Linked DNA regions of Saccharomyces cerevisiae S288C. The gene in region 3 interacts genetically with the main gene of each other region. Each region holds a gene or a part of one and is shown on either strand. Other genes may lie near its edges.

What was found. A genetic interaction does not mean that the proteins touch.
Region 1: mutations in RTG2 (region 3) and UBP13 together harm fitness more than expected from each alone (negative genetic interaction), as found in Saccharomyces cerevisiae (2 studies listed by BioGRID).
Region 2: mutations in RTG2 (region 3) and LYS20 together harm fitness more than expected from each alone (negative genetic interaction), as found in Saccharomyces cerevisiae (2 studies listed by BioGRID).

Annotation. Positions count from the first base shown.
Region 1 is NC_001134.8:91,193-97,560, forward strand, and holds UBP13 (ubiquitin-specific protease UBP13), read right to left. Parts: upstream 4,691-6,368; coding exon 2,447-4,690; downstream 1-2,446. Other genes in the region: AST1 (Ast1p), read left to right, coding at 1-838; ribose phosphate diphosphokinase subunit PRS4, read left to right, coding at 1,222-2,202; SEF1 (Sef1p), read right to left, coding at 5,477-6,368.
Region 2 is NC_001136.10:131,556-137,169, reverse strand, and holds LYS20 (homocitrate synthase LYS20), read right to left. Parts: upstream 3,734-5,614; coding exon 2,447-3,733; downstream 1-2,446. Other genes in the region: AIT1 (Ait1p), read right to left, coding at 1-1,274; INH1 (ATPase inhibitor), read right to left, coding at 1,734-1,991; MRX19 (Mrx19p), read left to right, coding at 5,337-5,614. UniProt on the Saccharomyces cerevisiae protein: Catalyzes the aldol-type condensation of 2-oxoglutarate with acetyl-CoA to yield homocitrate. Carries out the first step of the alpha-aminoadipate (AAA) lysine biosynthesis pathway.
Region 3 is NC_001139.9:23,952-31,811, forward strand, and holds RTG2 (Rtg2p), read right to left. Parts: upstream 3,534-7,860; coding exon 1,767-3,533; downstream 1-1,766. Other genes in the region: HXK2 (hexokinase 2), read left to right, coding at 1-1,444; HFM1 (DNA helicase), read right to left, coding at 3,970-7,475, 7,628-7,685. UniProt on the Saccharomyces cerevisiae protein: Required for a novel path of interorganelle communication between mitochondria, peroxisomes and the nucleus, thereby maintaining a functional metabolic interaction between the tricarboxylic acid and glyoxylate cycles.

The DNA.
Region 1 (6,368 bases), on a different chromosome or scaffold from region 3:
AATCTTAGTAGATCCAAAGGTGGACCCAATCCTTTTGAGACCAGAATCGGTTAGCGCCGAAGAAGCTGCAGGCTCCTTATTCTGCCTGGCCACCGGCTATAATATTCTGAATAAATTATCCAAGAACAAGTATTTGAAGCAAGATTCAAACGTTTTGATTAATGGTGGAACTTCGTCAGTGGGGATGTTTGTCATACAATTATTGAAGCGTCATTACAAGTTACAGAAAAAACTAGTGATTGTAACGTCTGCAAATGGGCCCCAAGTTTTACAGGAGAAATTTCCTGATCTGGCTGATGAAATGATTTTCATCGATTACTTAACGTGTAGGGGTAAATCTAGTAAACCACTAAGAAAAATGCTCGAAGAAAAGAAAATTTCTCAGTATGATCCGGTCGAGGATAAGGAAACTATACTTAACTATAATGAGGGGAAGTTCGATGTTGTACTCGATTTTGTCGGTGGTTACGATATTTTGAGTCATTCTAGTTCATTGATTCACGGCGGTGGTGCGTACGTAACCACTGTAGGTGATTACGTTGCCAATTATAAAGAAGACATTTTCGATTCATGGGATAACCCAAGTGCCAATGCAAGAAAAATGTTCGGGTCTATTATCTGGTCATATAACTACACACATTACTATTTTGATCCGAATGCAAAGACGGCTTCCGCCAATAATGATTGGATTGAGCAATGTGGCGACTTTTTGAAGAACGGTACTGTAAAATGTGTCGTCGACAAAGTTTATGACTGGAAAGACCATAAAGAAGCATTTTCTTATATGGCCACTCAACGTGCCCAAGGAAAGTTAATCATGAACGTCGAAAAATTCTAGATACCCACTTACATTTACAATATGTTTTATTTTTAAACTTAATGAACTTCATAATTTAATGCTTAATATTTTCCCCCTCCCACCTTCTCCTGGCGTTCTCTGTACGTACATAACCATTTATTTTAATATATAATCAAATATTGTAACAATTGAAGCAGATGAGTCTCGCTCCTTAGTTAAGCACGTGCCGATGATATCAATTGGATTTGTTAGCAAATCAGCCTTGCTGCTCGATTCTCTGCTTTTTTTTTACTTCTCGGTCATTGAAAAATCCTGACGAAAATATTTCAAGGTCCTATATGGTCATCGACCTTGAGCATGTGGTAGACTACATAATGCACATAGACTCTCAGCTTCAACTCCACAAGGCTTCTCCAGCAAAAATGAATTCAGAGTCTCGAGAAGATATGGCTATAAATAGTATCAAATTGCTAGCGGGAAACTCCCATCCTGATTTGGCTGAACAAATATCGAAAAAGTTAGGTATTCCACTTTCCAAAGTTGGTGTGTACCAGTATTCTAATAAAGAAACCTCTGTCACCATAGGTGAGAGCCTTCGCGACGAAGATGTGTATATTATCCAAACTGGAATAGGTGAACAAGAAATTAATGATTTCTTGATGGAATTATTAATTTTAATTCATGCTTGCAAAATTGCATCTGCAAGAAAGATCACTACTGTAATACCCAATTTTCCATATGCAAGACAAGACAAGAAAGATAAATCCCGGGCGCCCATTACCGCAAAGTTGGTTGCCAATTTATTGCAAACTGCTGGTGCTGATCATGTCATCACAATGGATCTCCATGCCTCCCAAATTCAAGGGTTTTTCCATATCCCGGTTGACAACCTATATGCAGAACCAAGTGTTTTAAATTATATTAGAACGAAAACAGATTTCGACAATGCTATTTTGGTGTCGCCTGATGCAGGTGGTGCTAAGAGAGTAGCTGCTTTGGCTGACAAGTTAGATTTAAATTTTGCTTTGATTCACAAAGAGAGGCAAAAAGCTAACGAGGTTTCAAAAATGGTGCTTGTTGGTGATGTTACCAATAAATCATGTTTATTAGTTGATGATATGGCGGATACTTGTGGTACGTTGGTAAAAGCTTGTGATACGTTGATGGAGCATGGTGCCAAAGAAGTTATAGCTATTGTTACACACGGTATTTTCTCCGGTTCAGCAAGAGAAAAGCTAAGAAATAGTAGATTGTCTAGAATTGTTTGCACAAATACCGTTCCGGTAGATTTGGATTTACCTATTGCTGACCAGATCGATATTAGTCCCACGTTCGCTGAAGCTATAAGAAGACTACACAATGGTGAATCCGTGTCATATTTGTTCACCCATGCTCCAGTATAGGACAATTTTTTATTCTTAGATTCCTGATTGCTTGCATGCCTAAATACTTCATAATTGTATTAGTTTAAAAGAAAACCTTTTACTGAGACAAAACTATAAATTTAAGAAAAAGGTTCCGGAGCCGGTTTAAAAAAAGAAGATTAAAGATATTATATTTATGTAAGAATTAAATTAATACTGTCAGAGAAAAAATAGTTTTAAAGGAGACGGTGAACCTTTACCTTCCTTGATATGCAAATATTTTTCAGCTTTTCCTAAAACTAAACATTCTCGACTTTTTTTTAGAAGACTTTATGGGTGTGTTAGAAACAAAGCTGTCGTCTATAGCAGTATCCAAATCGTCTGCTATAGGCAGCTCTTCCTTTTTCTTTTGACCACTATTGCAAGTTCTTAGCCAATCATCGTACTTGATTAGATTGTCTATATTATCATCTTGTTCTTTTGCCATATTTTCACGATCATTCTTTTCAACAGCGTTTGAATACATCGCTTTATAAAACAAAACATATGCTGTTGCCATATTTGGAGATTCACCTGTGAATTCTAACACTGTTTCCTCTTTAACTGCCTCTACCGTTTCGTCATCAAATAACAACCAGCCAAACTTTTCATGTTTACATAGGGAAACATAATGGCCGTGTTGTGGCCCACCGCCCATATGAACGACAATCCCAGCCAATTCATACTTTTGACAAACCTTAGAATTTATTGAAGAGCAAACATTTAGCGTCAGAGGATAGTGAATGTTATTAAAAAGCTTAATATTACAGTTTTGTTTCTCAGAATACTTGAATCTTTTCAAGTGTAATGTTAAAGTATCAGGCAATTGCTTCAAACCAACTAATCTCTCTGCCTCCTGTAAACCGCAACATTCGTCACAATAAAACTTGTTTGAGCCATTTAGCATTTCTCGCTGGTGATAACTTTTCAAAATTTCCTGTATATCTGTTTCCTCATCTCCCTGAACTTCTATGGGGAAATCCAAAAATGGCTCATCCCTAGATGTAATGTTATCGCACGTCAGACATTTTATTTGATTCGTTAAAGTGCCTTGAAACAAGTCACTGATGAAATTTTTACTCTTACTCGGTTCGCTATCGCTGTTGATATCACTGGCTGCTATTTTTTTATTCTCACGTTCTATATATTCACTCAACTCGTTTAATAAGAAATTGAAAAATTCGTGAGCATCCTGATGCATAGTAGTATTAAATAATACATTTTCTCTTTTGAGAACATCAACAAAAGAGCTAGGCGATACAACACCAGTTAAATACGTATTCTCAGTTATGCATTCAAAGATATCTCTCAAACTGGAATACAAAGTAGCCTTATCTGAGCCGTTTAAGCTATGGTCAATATTGAGCACTGGCCCACGAATAAGTGCGGATTTCTTTCTATGTTCTGGGGATATTTGAGAAGAGGAACTAGATCTTCTAGTATCTTTTTTATCAAGTGGAGTGGATAAGCTGCTATTACTTTCTCCTTTCAAGTCCAGGTTATTACTATTACTGCTACCTCTTGAAGGATTTTCATAATTGAGAACTCTGCCAACAATTATTTTACGCGGAACATCCGGAGGTCTATCTGTGACGTTCTCGAAACTCAATCTGCTCGGAGCACCAGGCTCATTAGGTGTTTCGACTATCAATGGAGGTGCGTCTTGAGGACGAGAAGAGGGTTTTCCAGTGGTTAATATAGCAGGACTTCCTTCCTTTTTATTATTGTCTTGTACATGTTTCGCGCTAAAACTTTTAAAAAATTTACTCTTCTTCTCTGAAGGCCCAGCTGTATTTGAATTTACAGAATTTACAGGGGTAGGCTTTCCATCATCAACAGATTGAGGTTTAGGGTTAGGCAAATGTCCATTGGTACCAGCAATGCTTTTCTCAAAACTTGCTTCGGTAAATATTCTTGGTTTCTTACCTCTCATTTCTTTCTTTCTTGGTTGATCAGATTCTCTTGATTTTTTTGGAAATTGCAATATATTTTCACGTAATGAGGACAGATTATAGAGACATTGAAGAACTGAGTTACAGTAACATGTATTGCCAAAATTTTCGTATCCAAAAACTTTGTTGGAGCCGTCTCCATAGGGCATTGAGTCGGACACCTTCATAGCTAATATGGGTGCCTCGGGCCCTTGCGTGATAATGCCTCCGTATGCGTTTATAGCCTTTGCGTTTGAAATATAAAATATCCCATCCTGGCTGTAATTACTGCCTTGATTGCACGTTTCAGAAGAATAGTCTAGTCCGGAAGAAATCTGCAAATTATTGTCTTCATTCAAAAAAGTTTCCTTGGTATCCAAATTAGAGACAAACAATGAGCTAGAGGGATTATCGGATGATTCGCTATAACAGAGTTCATCATTTATATCGTGGTTTACAGGCTTAAAGTCAACCTTTTCTACTTCTTCTGTAATGGTATCATTAACAGCCTTTTTCTTCTTCCCAGACTTACTTATAGTTAGCCATCTTCTGATCATGATTGCGCCCTTCTTGCGTGGGTTTAGTATGTTAATGAAAGTACTGGATCCTTACTAAAGCCGAATTTGGCCCCTTCAACAAATAAAGCTTGATGAGTTGAACAGTCAAAGGGTAAGATCTGGTATAGGCAATAATAATATTATCCAAATGGAAAAAAAAAAAATGAACAGGTGAAAAAAAATCAATTTGAAAACCAAAGAAAAACTCTATTGATTCCTTTGCTGTTGTCGACCTTCTTTCACACAATAGTTCAATTACGTTCTTTGGGTTCTTTATCTTTATAGTTATCTTGCCTCATCTCTATGTTCAACACTTTCGGATCGATGTATTTTTCAGCCTTCCGCTAAAATTGACGACCGTCTCCAAACGAATAGGGATAAAGAAGCAAGGACTGAGCGTTGGAGAAAAAAAAAAAGTTACCGGAATGGGAATAGATAGATACCTATAAGAAGCGTTATCGTTACTCATGAATTTTGGTAAATGCACACGGATAAATGCATGATATATAAAATATTAATAAGAATAAAATAAATAGGTAGTGAATAAATATTCTACTTTGGTGTGGTCATCATTTTACAAAGGAGGGAGGTCGTGATAACAAACTGATAAATAATCCTTAAGTTGATCCATTCTTGAATATTGTTACATTGGAAATAATCCGAAAAAGAATATGTATAAATAAAAGGACTCGAAGTCCTATGTAGCCGTCTTTGCAAATTTTCTTTAATAAATTAGCAGAAAACAAGGGTAATAATATTTCTTAGAATATTAGAAGAATATAGGCGTTAAAAACCTTGTTCCATGTTCATATCGAACCAACCAAAAAAGTCATCATTACTGGAGTTGCCTTCAATCCAGCCTGCACTTTGTTGCTGAAAAAAATCCGTTAGTTTGTTTCCAGGAGTCTTCACGTTGTTTTCATTATCGATGGTTTGGAAGTTAGAAGAAGTTACAGTGTTAGTGCCCGTAGAAAATCGTTGGTTCGTTTTGTTGCTATTGATATCATTACTTTTGGAAAACAAGCTCAGAGGTGGATATGCCGTGCTTTTAGAGGAGCCGGGGTCGGAAACGACGGAATGCAAATCTGTCATATTATTTGACTTCGAAGCAATCGGTGTACGTGAATGGGACATACTACTTTGTGATCTTCCAATCGCGTTGGCGTTGCTGAATTGATTATTATAATTCATGGTGACATTTTGTAAATTACTGTGCTCCCTTGGAATAGGGTGGTCTATTCCCAATGTAACATTATTAGATAAGTTGCCAACGGGGTGGTTCCTTAACCCTGGAACGGACGCAGGAAAATGATTAACGGGAGTGCTTACTGATCTTTTCATGGAGAGATCAGGAATTACACTAGGTCCGTTACTATAATAGTCTACCTTAGTACTTTGTGGATTGTTATTCGAAGCGGGGACAGAAGCCACTGGATAAATTGAATTAGAGGGAATTGATATGTCATTAGACGCATCCAATAACGTCCTATTATTATTATAATCGTTACTATTCGAGGTATTAGCGAATAAACTTTGAAATTTTACGCTGCCTGTTTCCCCGAGCATGGAAAGAGGTATCCCGTTAATCTCCATTATAGAACCGTCAGAATCTCCGTTATTTGTCTTGGCTAGCTTTTCTGCCTGCTTTAAGGCATTCTTAGTAGGAACTAAAGTGGTA
Region 2 (5,614 bases), on a different chromosome or scaffold from region 3:
TTAAACCAATCGTCTAGCTCTCTTCTTAAATATATCGAAGTGTTGATGAGGAAGTTTAGAGATATGAAAGGAATTATTACGCATAAGATGAAATTTGAAATGGTTCTTGAGCCGAAGTAGTTCACCACGGGAGTAAATAATCCTTCATGGCCGCGAACATAGACGAAATACATCGACAGAATCAATGATTCCCCAATTGTCAACATGATATTACTACCAACTACCAATATCATTAACAATAAACCGGTGACCAACTGGTATGCCGTGCTAAATGCAATAAATCTCTTTATCGGTGTGAAGCTTTTAGTAGTATTTTGTGTATTTTCATTAGGAACTGCCCATGTATAACCAAAAGATTTCTTCAAAATGGGCTGTTCTTCGTCTATGGGGAAACTCAAATCACCCGTATCTAGAGTTGTCAACTTTAATGAATTGTCGATGGGGTTCATCATGATAATTGTATCGTCCTGCGAATTATCTGGTACATGCAGCTGCTTCTTATTTTCATGAGGTTGCTGTCGTATGCTGCCATAAGTTGATGACGATGAACGTAGAGGTTTGATTGGATGGTACTCAGACGAGTATACGTTATTCGATATGGAAGATGAGTCATTTCTTACTTCAATACATTTGGACAACGTAATATCACTTCTGTCTACGACGTTGGGGCGATATTCTGTACTACAACCGCAGTCATCGTTATGGCTCATATCATTATTGTTACAGTAAGTGTTGGCGCTTTCCTGGTGTGTGAAGCCACTATTAATGTTTGGATCGGCGATTTCTTGGTAGTTAAACAAATTCCCTATTATGCATATGGTGAATTCACCCAGGGCCCATGATATACCAAAGATATAGGCTTGTCTTGGAATGATGTGCCAAGAACATTCCTTATGCTTGATCGTACCGCCTTCGTGATCTTGCACCTGAGGGTACGCTAAACCAATCAGTATCAAAAGCATAAAGACGTCGTTGATAGGAAAATCCACTATCAGGTTCAATATTAAAAACCTTTGATTTATATTGAATAGAAAGGTCTTCAGGAAATAATAAAGAAATGGTGAAAAAAGCCCCAAAAGAAAGGTCCTGAAATAGTCCTGCGAATTTGGTTTGAACATCAATGGATCATCATACTGGTGTAGCAGTAATTCGGACGACGCATAGAATAGTGAAAACAGTGAAATACTAAACAGCGCAGAAAGTATCACTATGTGAGGCCTTGTGGAGCAGAAAATAGGCATAAAATATGATGCTGCATGATTTAATCGGACCATATTCAGATATATTTCACAGGTATCTTTCTTTTGTGTAAAGAATACGAGGTATGATTTAAAACGTCAAAGAATGGAAGAGAAATTTTGAATGCGAAGAGATGCTAAGTATATTCTTGGTGTTAGGCTAAGCTTGTTGAAACAAAAAAGAAGGAATTTTGAAATTTCGTATCTTAAGTATGGACTATTGACGTTATTTGGAACTTTTCCATGTTCCACACTGTTCCTATCTTTCTATGCCTTTCCGCATTGGGACGAACTTTGCGCGAAGTGGAAATAATGAGTGACATTAGTCAGACAGACAAGAGGAAAATTCAAACCAGAGGAAAACTAGAATGATAGTTATCGAAAATGCAAAAGCTCAGTGTGATGTATTATTATATAGTTTTTCTGCTGTTTGACTATAAAAGAGTAAGAATATTCTAAAAAAAAAAAAAAAAAAGCTTCTGCGGAAACGCATGATTATTTGGTCATCGAGTCAATTTTATTTTCCAAAGAATCAATCTTCTTTCGTTGTTTTTCCAGTTGTTCTTTCAAATGGCGTAGTTGCTCCTTCTCACGCTGCCTAACGAAGAAGTCTTCCGTGGCCCTTTCCCTTTTAACAAACGAATCCTCTGAGCCTGACCCTCTTGGGGTGCCGGTAGAACCTTCAGAGTAGAACCTTGCGGCCACACCGCGCTGTAATTGCAATGAGCGTGCTAATGCTGAACGTGGTAACATATTCTATTGTGGAACTGTATAAAAGTGTGCTGTAGTAATGCGTGTAAAATGCACTCCTTTGGGATAGCAAAAACAAATTCAACCACGAACAAATTCAAAGAAAGTTTTAAACAAGATACAACAAGTCAAGTTATGAACCCCTCCTTCTCTAACGATTGTTAACGCCTTTTCTAGCCCCAAAACCTCGTTGCAGTGGAAAACGATGGGTGTCAGCAACTAGACAGTTGATTGGCATAATTGTGAATATCTGGATATTTGGTACCCGCAGCAGCCTCCCCTTATTCTGCCGCGAATGCGCGCGTCTGATTGGCCCGGCATCACGGGAGAGTAAATCTTCTTCTTTTAATGCGTATCGGACAAAGTAGATGGGAAAAAACATCATTTAGATATGTAGATGTAGATGCTATATATCGTATGTAATAAGTGAAAGAACATAATGTAATGGTTTGGGAACGTTAGGCGGATGGCTTAGTCCGCTTGGCGGCGGGGATGGTGGCCAGTTCCGGTACATCGCTGTCATTCTTCTTGTTCTTTTTTGCAGATAGTACTTGAGGAGTGCTGACCTCTGCGTGGAAGTTCTTGATGATAGAGTCAACATCATCGATATTCAGCGATCTGACATCACCCAGCTTCTTAATCTTAGCAGTAACTTCCTTGATTTGGTCATCCGTCAAGTTCAAGTTCAACTGGTCGACTCTGGCTTTGATGGCGTTCCAGCCAGTTAGTCTGTTGGCGAAGTGGATATACCTCTTCATACCGAAATCGTGAGGGTCCAAGATTTCGTAGGTAGATGGGTTAGCCAAAATGGCCTTGGCATGGATACCTGCTTTATGTGTGAATGCACAGAACCCGGTGATAGGGTTGTTGAATGGAATGTTAACTTCCACAGCATCAGCGACCAGGTTTTCAATGTCTCTGATCTTGTGCAACTTGTATTTGGACTTGACATAGTCTGGTGCGGCAACAATCATTCTTGCCATGAGCCCACCTAGAGGAGTGATACCGTTTCTTTCACCAATACCCAGTACACTGACGTCAATCAATCTGGCACCACCTTCCAAAGCAGTGTAGGCGTTTGCAATGGCACAACCAGTATCGTTGTGGAAATGGCATTCGATGTCACATGAAACAACACTCTTCAAAGTTCTGATCAGTTCATATACTTGTCTTGGGTTGGCACATCCAACTGTGTCGGCAATACCGACTCTATTTACACCGATCTTGTCAACGGTTTTATAAATGTTCAAAAGATCAACGAGATCACTTCTGAAGGAATCTTCAGAGGAAAATCTGATTTCAATACCTTTGGATTTGACAAATTCAATGACTTCAACAGCACTCTTGGCGATGTAGTTCATATCCTTACCGTGGGAATATTGTCTTAAAAATTTGGAGGTGCCGATAACGACATCGACACCGTCGACACCAGTCTCTACGGCGACTTTGGCGTCATCCATATGACAACGAATGTGTGTAAGGATCTTGGCCTTTAAACCTAGTTTACATATAGCTTCACAGTCCTTTCTTGATTGTTCAGATGCTACTGGTGAGGTTAACTCGATGTAGTCCACACCGAAATCGTCCAAGGCTCTAGCAATTTCGATCTTTTTTTCAGTATCGAAGAATGCGTTGGCAAATTGTTCACCTTCTCTCAGCGTCGAATCGATTAACTGGAAATTATTTACATTAGAAAGATAGTCGCCCGGTTTGGCAGCATATGGATTTGGTTTAGCAGCAGTCATCTTTAGGAAAACAATACAGGGTCCTTCCTTTGTTTGTTATGTAGATAAGAAACAAGAATAAACTAAACGGGAACATATCAAATACACTTTATCGATAAGCAGCCAATATCATTTATATATATCATCATCGGGTATTTAAGCAGGTGTAAAAAATGGCCAGCGATGAGGCCCTTAAAACTTGGTAATAATATTACTCACGCATCATCGTCAGCAAGAACCTAAAGCGCAAATTAAATTATTGCCTATTGCTCTAATGTCGTCGTCGTCCACTACCGAAGAGAAAATTCCCCAGCAATTTTGGTCATATTTTTCAACCATGAATAAGGGATAGTGGGACAAGGCCAGGCCATTGTGACATTACTCATTTTTTTGCCACTTGCAACGCTAGTAACGCCGTATCCACAGAGAAACCGGGAGTGGCGCGAAGAGATCTTTTTTTTCTTTTACTACGTGTGATCCTCTAAAGAATTCTTTTTCTCAACCTAGCAAAGTAACCCACGCTTAAACTTCCTTGCAGAGAGTTCCCGTCGGAATTTGTTTTTTTCTTACTAAAACTACGCAATATTCCGGCGGAATTTGACGCAGACGTAACATCAGTCATCAGTTAATTTAGAATAACGATGAGCCAGCTGATCGGGTACTGTGGACGGAGTTTATAAGGAAGAGAAAATGCTGAGTGCATTAGTCATAAGAGAGGAGCGTGATCTGTAATTCCCTCTGCCTGTGCGGATCACTTCCTACAATTTATTTTGTAAAAGAGAGCACGTCTGTAGTTTCAAACAAAATCACCAACTGTGCTTTGTTCGAATACCCAGGGAACTGTTTGTTCGTCGAATCGAGATAATAGCAAACAAGAGTCTCGGTTGAGTAAACGCTCATAGACAAGAAACTAGGAACATGGCTAAAATCTTGCATCGATGTAACATTAATATAAATAGTTTGCAGCAACCGATTTACACAAAAACTGAATCTCAAGCGCACGCAGTATACCAAATTTGGTTCCTAGAGTTTTTTATATGGGCGGCTAACCTTGGAGAGATCAAAAAAGTGTACTTAACTACGAATGACATTTTAGAGGGTTTCAAGCGTATTATAATGAGATAATCTTTCAGCTGGTAGCAATTATGGTCTAATAATTTTTCGTTTATTCGGCCCTCAACCATTTGTTGAGCTTATACCGATTTAGAGCCCATAAAACGTCGTGATAATCCGCAACTTCCACGCTACCACTTTCCACCATCTATCAAAAAAAATAAGAAAATTACCATGTGTAACAGCTCCTTCCATAATTTGAAGCAGGCTGTGTTTATTCAGTTCTTCGTTTGTTTTTCTTACTTCAACGCTCCTTGTTCGATAGCTTTATTTTCTTGTTTTTCCTCCACTTTTGGATGGATGGACTTGACGGCTGTCTCCGCCGGGGAGTAAGCATCGGGCATTGTGCCAAGATAGTATCTAAAGGGTGTGCTATCTGGCACAGTTTCAGTTACTAGTTAGCCATGAAATTTTTCCTTTTCAACGTAGCAGTATCCATATCATTGCTCTTCATCGATAGAATCATTTTATCACAATACCAAAACTTCATCCGGTGTATTTTAGATTAAAGATGATACGTTCAATATTTATACCGCCAACTAGTATAACTGCCACTTCTCGACTGTTCTACGGAATGAGGGCGTATTCAACAAAACTTGAAAAGGCTTCACTCCAAAAATATCTGCATGATCCTGTTAAAGTGACTGTGATACCAATAACGGACAAAGAATCATTCATTTACTATAAGCATACCGATAATCTCTTTAATAGTCAGTCTAGAATATTAAAAGCAGAAAAGTGGATCGTTGAGAAATCAGCAAAGCTTTGGAGAAAACTGAAAAAGTCCCC
Region 3 (7,860 bases):
AAAAAAACCACAAGCCAGAAAGGGTTCCATGGCCGATGTGCCAAAGGAATTGATGCAACAAATTGAGAATTTTGAAAAAATTTTCACTGTTCCAACTGAAACTTTACAAGCCGTTACCAAGCACTTCATTTCCGAATTGGAAAAGGGTTTGTCCAAGAAGGGTGGTAACATTCCAATGATTCCAGGTTGGGTTATGGATTTCCCAACTGGTAAGGAATCCGGTGATTTCTTGGCCATTGATTTGGGTGGTACCAACTTGAGAGTTGTCTTAGTCAAGTTGGGCGGTGACCGTACCTTTGACACCACTCAATCTAAGTACAGATTACCAGATGCTATGAGAACTACTCAAAATCCAGACGAATTGTGGGAATTTATTGCCGACTCTTTGAAAGCTTTTATTGATGAGCAATTCCCACAAGGTATCTCTGAGCCAATTCCATTGGGTTTCACCTTTTCTTTCCCAGCTTCTCAAAACAAAATCAATGAAGGTATCTTGCAAAGATGGACTAAAGGTTTTGATATTCCAAACATTGAAAACCACGATGTTGTTCCAATGTTGCAAAAGCAAATCACTAAGAGGAATATCCCAATTGAAGTTGTTGCTTTGATAAACGACACTACCGGTACTTTGGTTGCTTCTTACTACACTGACCCAGAAACTAAGATGGGTGTTATCTTCGGTACTGGTGTCAATGGTGCTTACTACGATGTTTGTTCCGATATCGAAAAGCTACAAGGAAAACTATCTGATGACATTCCACCATCTGCTCCAATGGCCATCAACTGTGAATACGGTTCCTTCGATAATGAACATGTCGTTTTGCCAAGAACTAAATACGATATCACCATTGATGAAGAATCTCCAAGACCAGGCCAACAAACCTTTGAAAAAATGTCTTCTGGTTACTACTTAGGTGAAATTTTGCGTTTGGCCTTGATGGACATGTACAAACAAGGTTTCATCTTCAAGAACCAAGACTTGTCTAAGTTCGACAAGCCTTTCGTCATGGACACTTCTTACCCAGCCAGAATCGAGGAAGATCCATTCGAGAACCTAGAAGATACCGATGACTTGTTCCAAAATGAGTTCGGTATCAACACTACTGTTCAAGAACGTAAATTGATCAGACGTTTATCTGAATTGATTGGTGCTAGAGCTGCTAGATTGTCCGTTTGTGGTATTGCTGCTATCTGTCAAAAGAGAGGTTACAAGACCGGTCACATCGCTGCAGACGGTTCCGTTTACAACAGATACCCAGGTTTCAAAGAAAAGGCTGCCAATGCTTTGAAGGACATTTACGGCTGGACTCAAACCTCACTAGACGACTACCCAATCAAGATTGTTCCTGCTGAAGATGGTTCCGGTGCTGGTGCCGCTGTTATTGCTGCTTTGGCCCAAAAAAGAATTGCTGAAGGTAAGTCCGTTGGTATCATCGGTGCTTAAACTTAATTTGTAAATTAAGTTTGAACAACAAGAAGGTGCCCTTTTTCTACTTATGTGAACATGTTTTCTATGATCTTTTTTTTTCTTACTTTTACAACTGTGATATTGTATAAACTTTGTTAGAAATTCACGGGATTTATTCGTGACGATAAATATTTATATAGACAAAGAATATGACGATTTATGAAATCTACATGATTTTAGTTTCTTTTAACAATTGCTCGTTTTTTTCTCTTGCTTAATTTTAAATTTTTTTGGTAGTAAAAGATGCTTATATAAGGATTTCGTATTTATTGTTCAAGTATTTAAAGACTAGATGTCTTTATTCTTCATAAAATTGCACGCCAATTTTAACCCTCTCTACACTTCCTCTAGATAGCTTGCGTACTTTCTTTTGTAGCGTGATAATTCTGGAACGAACGGAAGCACTTGTTTTAAGATCGTCCTTACTAATTCTCACAACCACTTCATACCCGCGATTTTTACGCGTGGATTCTTCTTTTACCTTTGTAGTGTTTGCATCATCAATGATTAATTCTTTTAAACTGGTCTCCACCTCACTACGCTTAGAAACATGGAAATCAAATACGTTATCTCTGATATTACCACCTGGATGAACACCGCAAATCACATACATAATCGTACCAATATACTTCGTCCACCATACAATTCTCAATGCTTCAGCTTTATCACCTTCGCGTAGAACTACTTGTTCTAATTCTTGGGAGTATTTTTCTTCAGATTCCGGAATGTTGCCGCCCCATCTACTACATAGAGCAATTCCTATCAGCGCTCTAGCTCTGTGAGATAATCCATGACAGCCGGCTATTATCCCTCTTGTAGCAACATGTAATGCAGCTGTTGGTTGTAACTCCTTTGGATAAGAGGCATGAACAAATGCTAAGTTACATAAAGCAGGAGCAATCCTTTCGTTTACTATTTCTGGTATATCTTCTTGTGGGATTGATGTTCTCAATAGATATAGATATTTTTCAGTAAGTAATGGAGCATAAGGACGGGACGCAATTAGCAATGGATCTTGTGCACGAATTTCTTTTGGAAGAAGAGAATAAAGTGAACCCTCTCGAACACCACCCTCACTAAAATGTACAGCTTTGATCTGGGGAATCGCTTCAAAAACAGCACTCATGAACAAACCAACGGCAGGAAGTTGTAAAGCCCTTCTATCAGAAACCTTAAATATTTTATGCTCTTTTGAAGAACCTGGTATTTTTTGTTTTAGGAATAGATAATCTGACATAGACGAGAATTCTTCATAAGTGCAAGCATATCCGTTAATTATTGTTTGGATGGGATAACCTTCCGACTGGTAAAGAAGCAGATGTCCCATACCTCTTAAACCACCCCCACGGGTCCAAAGGTCAAATCCACCTTCTTTCTTGGCGTCATCAATCATTTCTTGAGGTATACCAATTTTTTCAATCGCATCTTTGTACGCTTCTTTAATCTCATAAAAAAGTGCCCTATTATCATCTGTTCTCATTCTTCTCAAAAGAGTTCCAGCTCCATATGGCAAAGATACAGGTTTGCTGGATTGCTTGACTTCTCCGTGCGAGCTTATTACCCATGATAACTGAGTACTACCACCTGCCACATCTAGATATAGACCTCTTACTGTATTAAATGAGGAAACAACACCATATATGCCGACCCTAGTTTCATCTTCCTGGCCTAATATTTCTACTTTCCAGCCAGTGCTACCGTAAACAGCATTAACAAATTCATCCGCGTTAATAGCATCTCGCGTGGCTTCTGTTGCAATTACTCTGACACTAGTTTCAGGTACACCAAAATCATCGCAAATTAATTTGAATCTCTTCATGGCAGAACAAACCTCTTTTATAATATCTCTGGGAATAGGGCATTTTGCGTTCGTATGTGTATTATATTGAACTTCGTATAGAGAAAGACCAACCCTATCTTTAAAAACACAAGGCATAATTCTTGCATGATGTGCAGCCTTGGAAGATATACTAAAACGAATACCATTAGAACCTATGTCGACGATTCCACACAAGTTTCTCGACACGACCTCAGTCTCGGTATCACTATCGCTAAGTGTTGACATTTGTGGCACGCCTACACTTTTCGTTCAAAACAATCCTTAGTAAAGGACACTTCCAAGAGTGAGTTTCTTTTTTAAAAGGTACATATGAATGAATTACTAATCTCACTTCGATTCTTTCAATTGATCTAGGAACTCCGCCGGCAAAGTTATCCTATCTCGGCATTCTGACCCGGATCGCTTATCGCGGTCATGTGACTAATAATTGAAATGATAAATAGCACGATATGTAACAATAGTAATATATCAATTGACAATGTCATCTTGTTCCCTAATAAATAGTAAAGGTTCCAATTGTTTCACCACTGGCTGCATTTTAAAAACAAAGCATTATAAGTAAACTCTCACACATGCTAACTTCTGTTGGGAAGCAATACAAATAACAGAAAGGATTGGGGTAATGAATATCAGTAATGTCTATTGTTCCCGGCCATGCCGCTCATTCAAACTCTATATCGGAACCCAAGAAATCCAGATCACCATTCGGATCACTTATTGAGCTCGCCGCTGTATTACTAGAATAACTATCGGATGATTCAAGATCAATAGGAATTATTTCAGGGCAGTTTTCGGGGCCTGATTTTAGGACTTGTTCACCCGCTTCCATAGACGACATCTGTTGCGATAGATTATAAATTTTTGAAGGAAGTGTATGAACTGTCGCAATATCTGTATTTTCTTCTTGCCACTGCTTTGGTTTACTATTCAGTCTTTTTTCCAGGTGAGGGGTTGTGTTGATATTTTTTGCAAGCAGTGGCTGGCGTATTTGATCAGGTTTTGATACTGGCTTGATTGAGGAGGGTCCTTTTTCTTTTATATACTTTACTGGAATACCCTCTTTACAACATAAATGTCTGCATTGCGTTTTGTCTTTGCAGCTATGAAAACACTCGTAATTGCCATTAGATCTTACTTGGCGGCCATTACTAAAATGTGAAGAAGAGTGTGCCTCCGGGTGAATAACTGCTGCAGATTCAACCGCCTTTGATGATTTCTTCCTTTCATTCAAATAATCTAGTATACTATCATCTGAGGATAGCGATTCTTCTAATCCATCTTTATGGGAAACCCTAGACGTTTTCCCCACTTCTCCGTCACTACTGCTTTCATAGAAGAGGCATTTTTCTAAACTATTTAGATCTTTCCTTATATTTGGTGTCTTCGCAGAGAACTGTGATGCCAAATGATCAGTGGAATATACGATTGTTTTGCCGAGTCCGGCGATTTCTTGGCAATGAATTGAGAATTCTATTTTTTCTAGTTTTGGTGATATTTTTGCTGAAATTCTAAAGCCCCTTGGTGACTGTAGTTTGTTAACTTGCAATCTTCTAAAGTCGATTAACTCTCCTGAGCTTTTCTCGGTTTCGATATCTAATGAGAGGTGCTGACCATGCCAAATGCTAGACTTGAATGTTGCACTAATCTCAACTTTAAATGTCAACCACAACTCTTCATTTTCTATTTTGCAATTTTCTAGTTTTGTTCTAATATTCAGACAAGGCAACAAAGAAATGTCGTTTTTAATTTTTATGCCGTTTCCAATCTTGAGGTTAAGATAGTATTCAATCTGAGTATCTGACAAATGCCCCATTTCTTCTAGATTGGTAATTCCATGTCGTATTAGCCTTCTTACTGAAACTAGTCCAATTGTTTTCAATTGCCTAAGAACCATTGGCGTGTTTTCCCAGCAGTGACCATTCAGGCTTCGCAGTAAGAACAAAGTATTTTTCAGTGATGTTCCATCACTTTTTTCAATAAATGTGTCTACCATGCATTTTAGTAATCTAAAACAATGTCTAAAAACGAGGAATTTATCCTGAACAAGAGTTTGATGTAGTTTAGAAGCGCCTTCGTATGATGGAAATTCTAACCCACCTAACTCATATTGAATCAAAAGAGAAACCTTTTGACTAACCCTGTCAATTATTTGGCTCTGTTTCTTCTCGGTTAAAAATGGATATTTCAAAAGTGGCGATAAATTGATTTCTTTGAACAATTTTTTTTCATTGTGCCTCACCCTCATAACTGAAAACTCTTCAGAAGTGGCCAGTAAATTTAGTATCCCTTGTAATGATAGAAATTTTTTTGCGTTAATGAATTGTTTCATCGACTCAAAGGATATATAATGTCGCGTCATTGCATTTCCGTACGCTGTAGATTTGTACTCCCCATTGCTGATATCGATTATTTTCACTTTTACTAAGGTGTCAAGCAAATACTGACAGAATTGATTTATCTGAGAGTCTTCAACGGAATGAAAACTAACGTATCTGTTCACCTCTTGATATGCAGCTGGATTCTTCCCAAATCTAACGTAAAAGAATGTGTTTCGTAGCCAATTTACTGCAGTTTCAATTGAATATACAGTTTCCAAAGAGGTTTCTGCTGCTAAATGCTCGATCAAATTCAAATGTAATGAACTTTCCAAAACGTCAGTTCCATGAATTAAGTTTTCATATGTTTGCTTCATTTTAGAGTCTGTCATGATTACTGCGCACCCGTGAGTTTCAAATTGAGGTCTTCCTGCCCGCCCAATCATTTGCAGTACATCTAGGTCTGAATACTCTTGGATTTCAGAAGAGTTCCAACTTTTGGTGCCTTTGATAATGACCAAATATGCGGGAAGGTTCACACCAACAGCTAACGTTGAAGTTGAACACAATATATTAATTGAACCTGCAAGAAATTCTTTCTCAACGGCAGTACGGTCTTCTAAAGAAATTCCAGCATGATGGAAAGCGATACCTTGTTGCATACATTCATTTAATATTTTATCGGAGGGATTATGATTACATCTTTTCTTACTTTTTGAAAAAATATGATTATTTAATAAAAATTTTGCTGTTGATATAGTTGAAGCCCTAGTCGGACAAAATATTAGTACGGGACGATTATCGGCATGCTTTTCAATTATTTCAATCAATTTGGAATTATATATAGCATCTTTTTGGAAGTCATTTTTGCAATTGAAGGAGTACCCATAAACAAACTTCGTTAACTGAACTTGCCTGTACGATTCGTCAAAAGAAAGAATATTTGCAGGAAGCTCGTTGTTAGTTTTGAGCCACAATGCTAGGTCTTCTATATTTGGAACTGTTGCACTTAAAGCAACAAACCGAATGTTTTGACACATTGTATTCATCCTTGTCAGAATTACTTCCAAAGATGCTCCTCTTTTCTCCTTTATGGTATGAATCTCATCAACTAGGACAAGTTTGACCAATTCGAATAATCGGCTGTAATCGGACCATCTTCTTGTTAACAAATCCCATTTTTCTGGTGTCGTAATTATTATGTTACATTTTTTAGCCTTTTCAGTTTCCAGAAAAGAGGTATCACTAGTAAGCATACCAACAGAAAGATTCACAAAGGAAGGAAACCAGTTCTTGTACATCTCGTAACATAGAGATTTGGTTGGCGCGATGTATATAATTTTGGTGTTATTGGTATCACTATTTGTTTCCTTTATAAGACGTAATATTGCCAATTCAAATAATACAGTCTTGCCTGATCCGGTTGGTGAAGAAATTATGCAGTTCTCGTTACTCTCATAAATACTAGGAAAAGCCTCTGATTGCATTTTATTAAATTCTGTAAATTTAAAAACCCCTCTGAATGAATCTGGTAATATGGTCGTGCTCAAACATTTCTTCGCTGATTTCCTTATCGTGACCTTCTTAGGTTTCTTCGCCTCTTCATCAGGTGTCTGCTCTAAATCGTGATCAAATAATTTACTAGTTACTTGTGTATCATCTGCTGTTATTGAAAAATTATCGTCTTTGTCGAAGAATTGCAGACCACGGCCCTCAAATATTTCCTCTGTTTCATTTTCATCATCACAATCATCCAGTAAACTGTTATAAGACAAACCTACTTTAAAACTTGGTTGGCGGCTATTTTTCTTATTTCTTTTAAATGTAGCAGACTGGTCGTTAAAGTCAATATCTATAAGTCCTCTGAAATTCTAGTCCAGAAAAACCACTTTTGGTTGCATTTCCGCTAGATAATAAAAGAAAGAGGTAACAATGTTAGTCAAAATACTGTTGTTGTCCGATATGGTGTAAACTGATAAGGGTGTTGCTAAGCTTCGTTACTACTATTTGGAGAGGGTCTACTTCTTTTTCCTGTACCGAGGCGATCAAACTTTGTTTTCATCCTTACGACGCCTCTTAAGTTGTCAAATCCACCTTGAGGTATCAATCATTTTCAATGAAAGGATTTCTTGATAGATGATACTAATAGTCCCGTTTTGTTTATAATCCGGGGCAAAGTCTAAATACCCGCCGAGCCTGCATCCATTCGTGGTACATGATATGTTAAAACTACAACA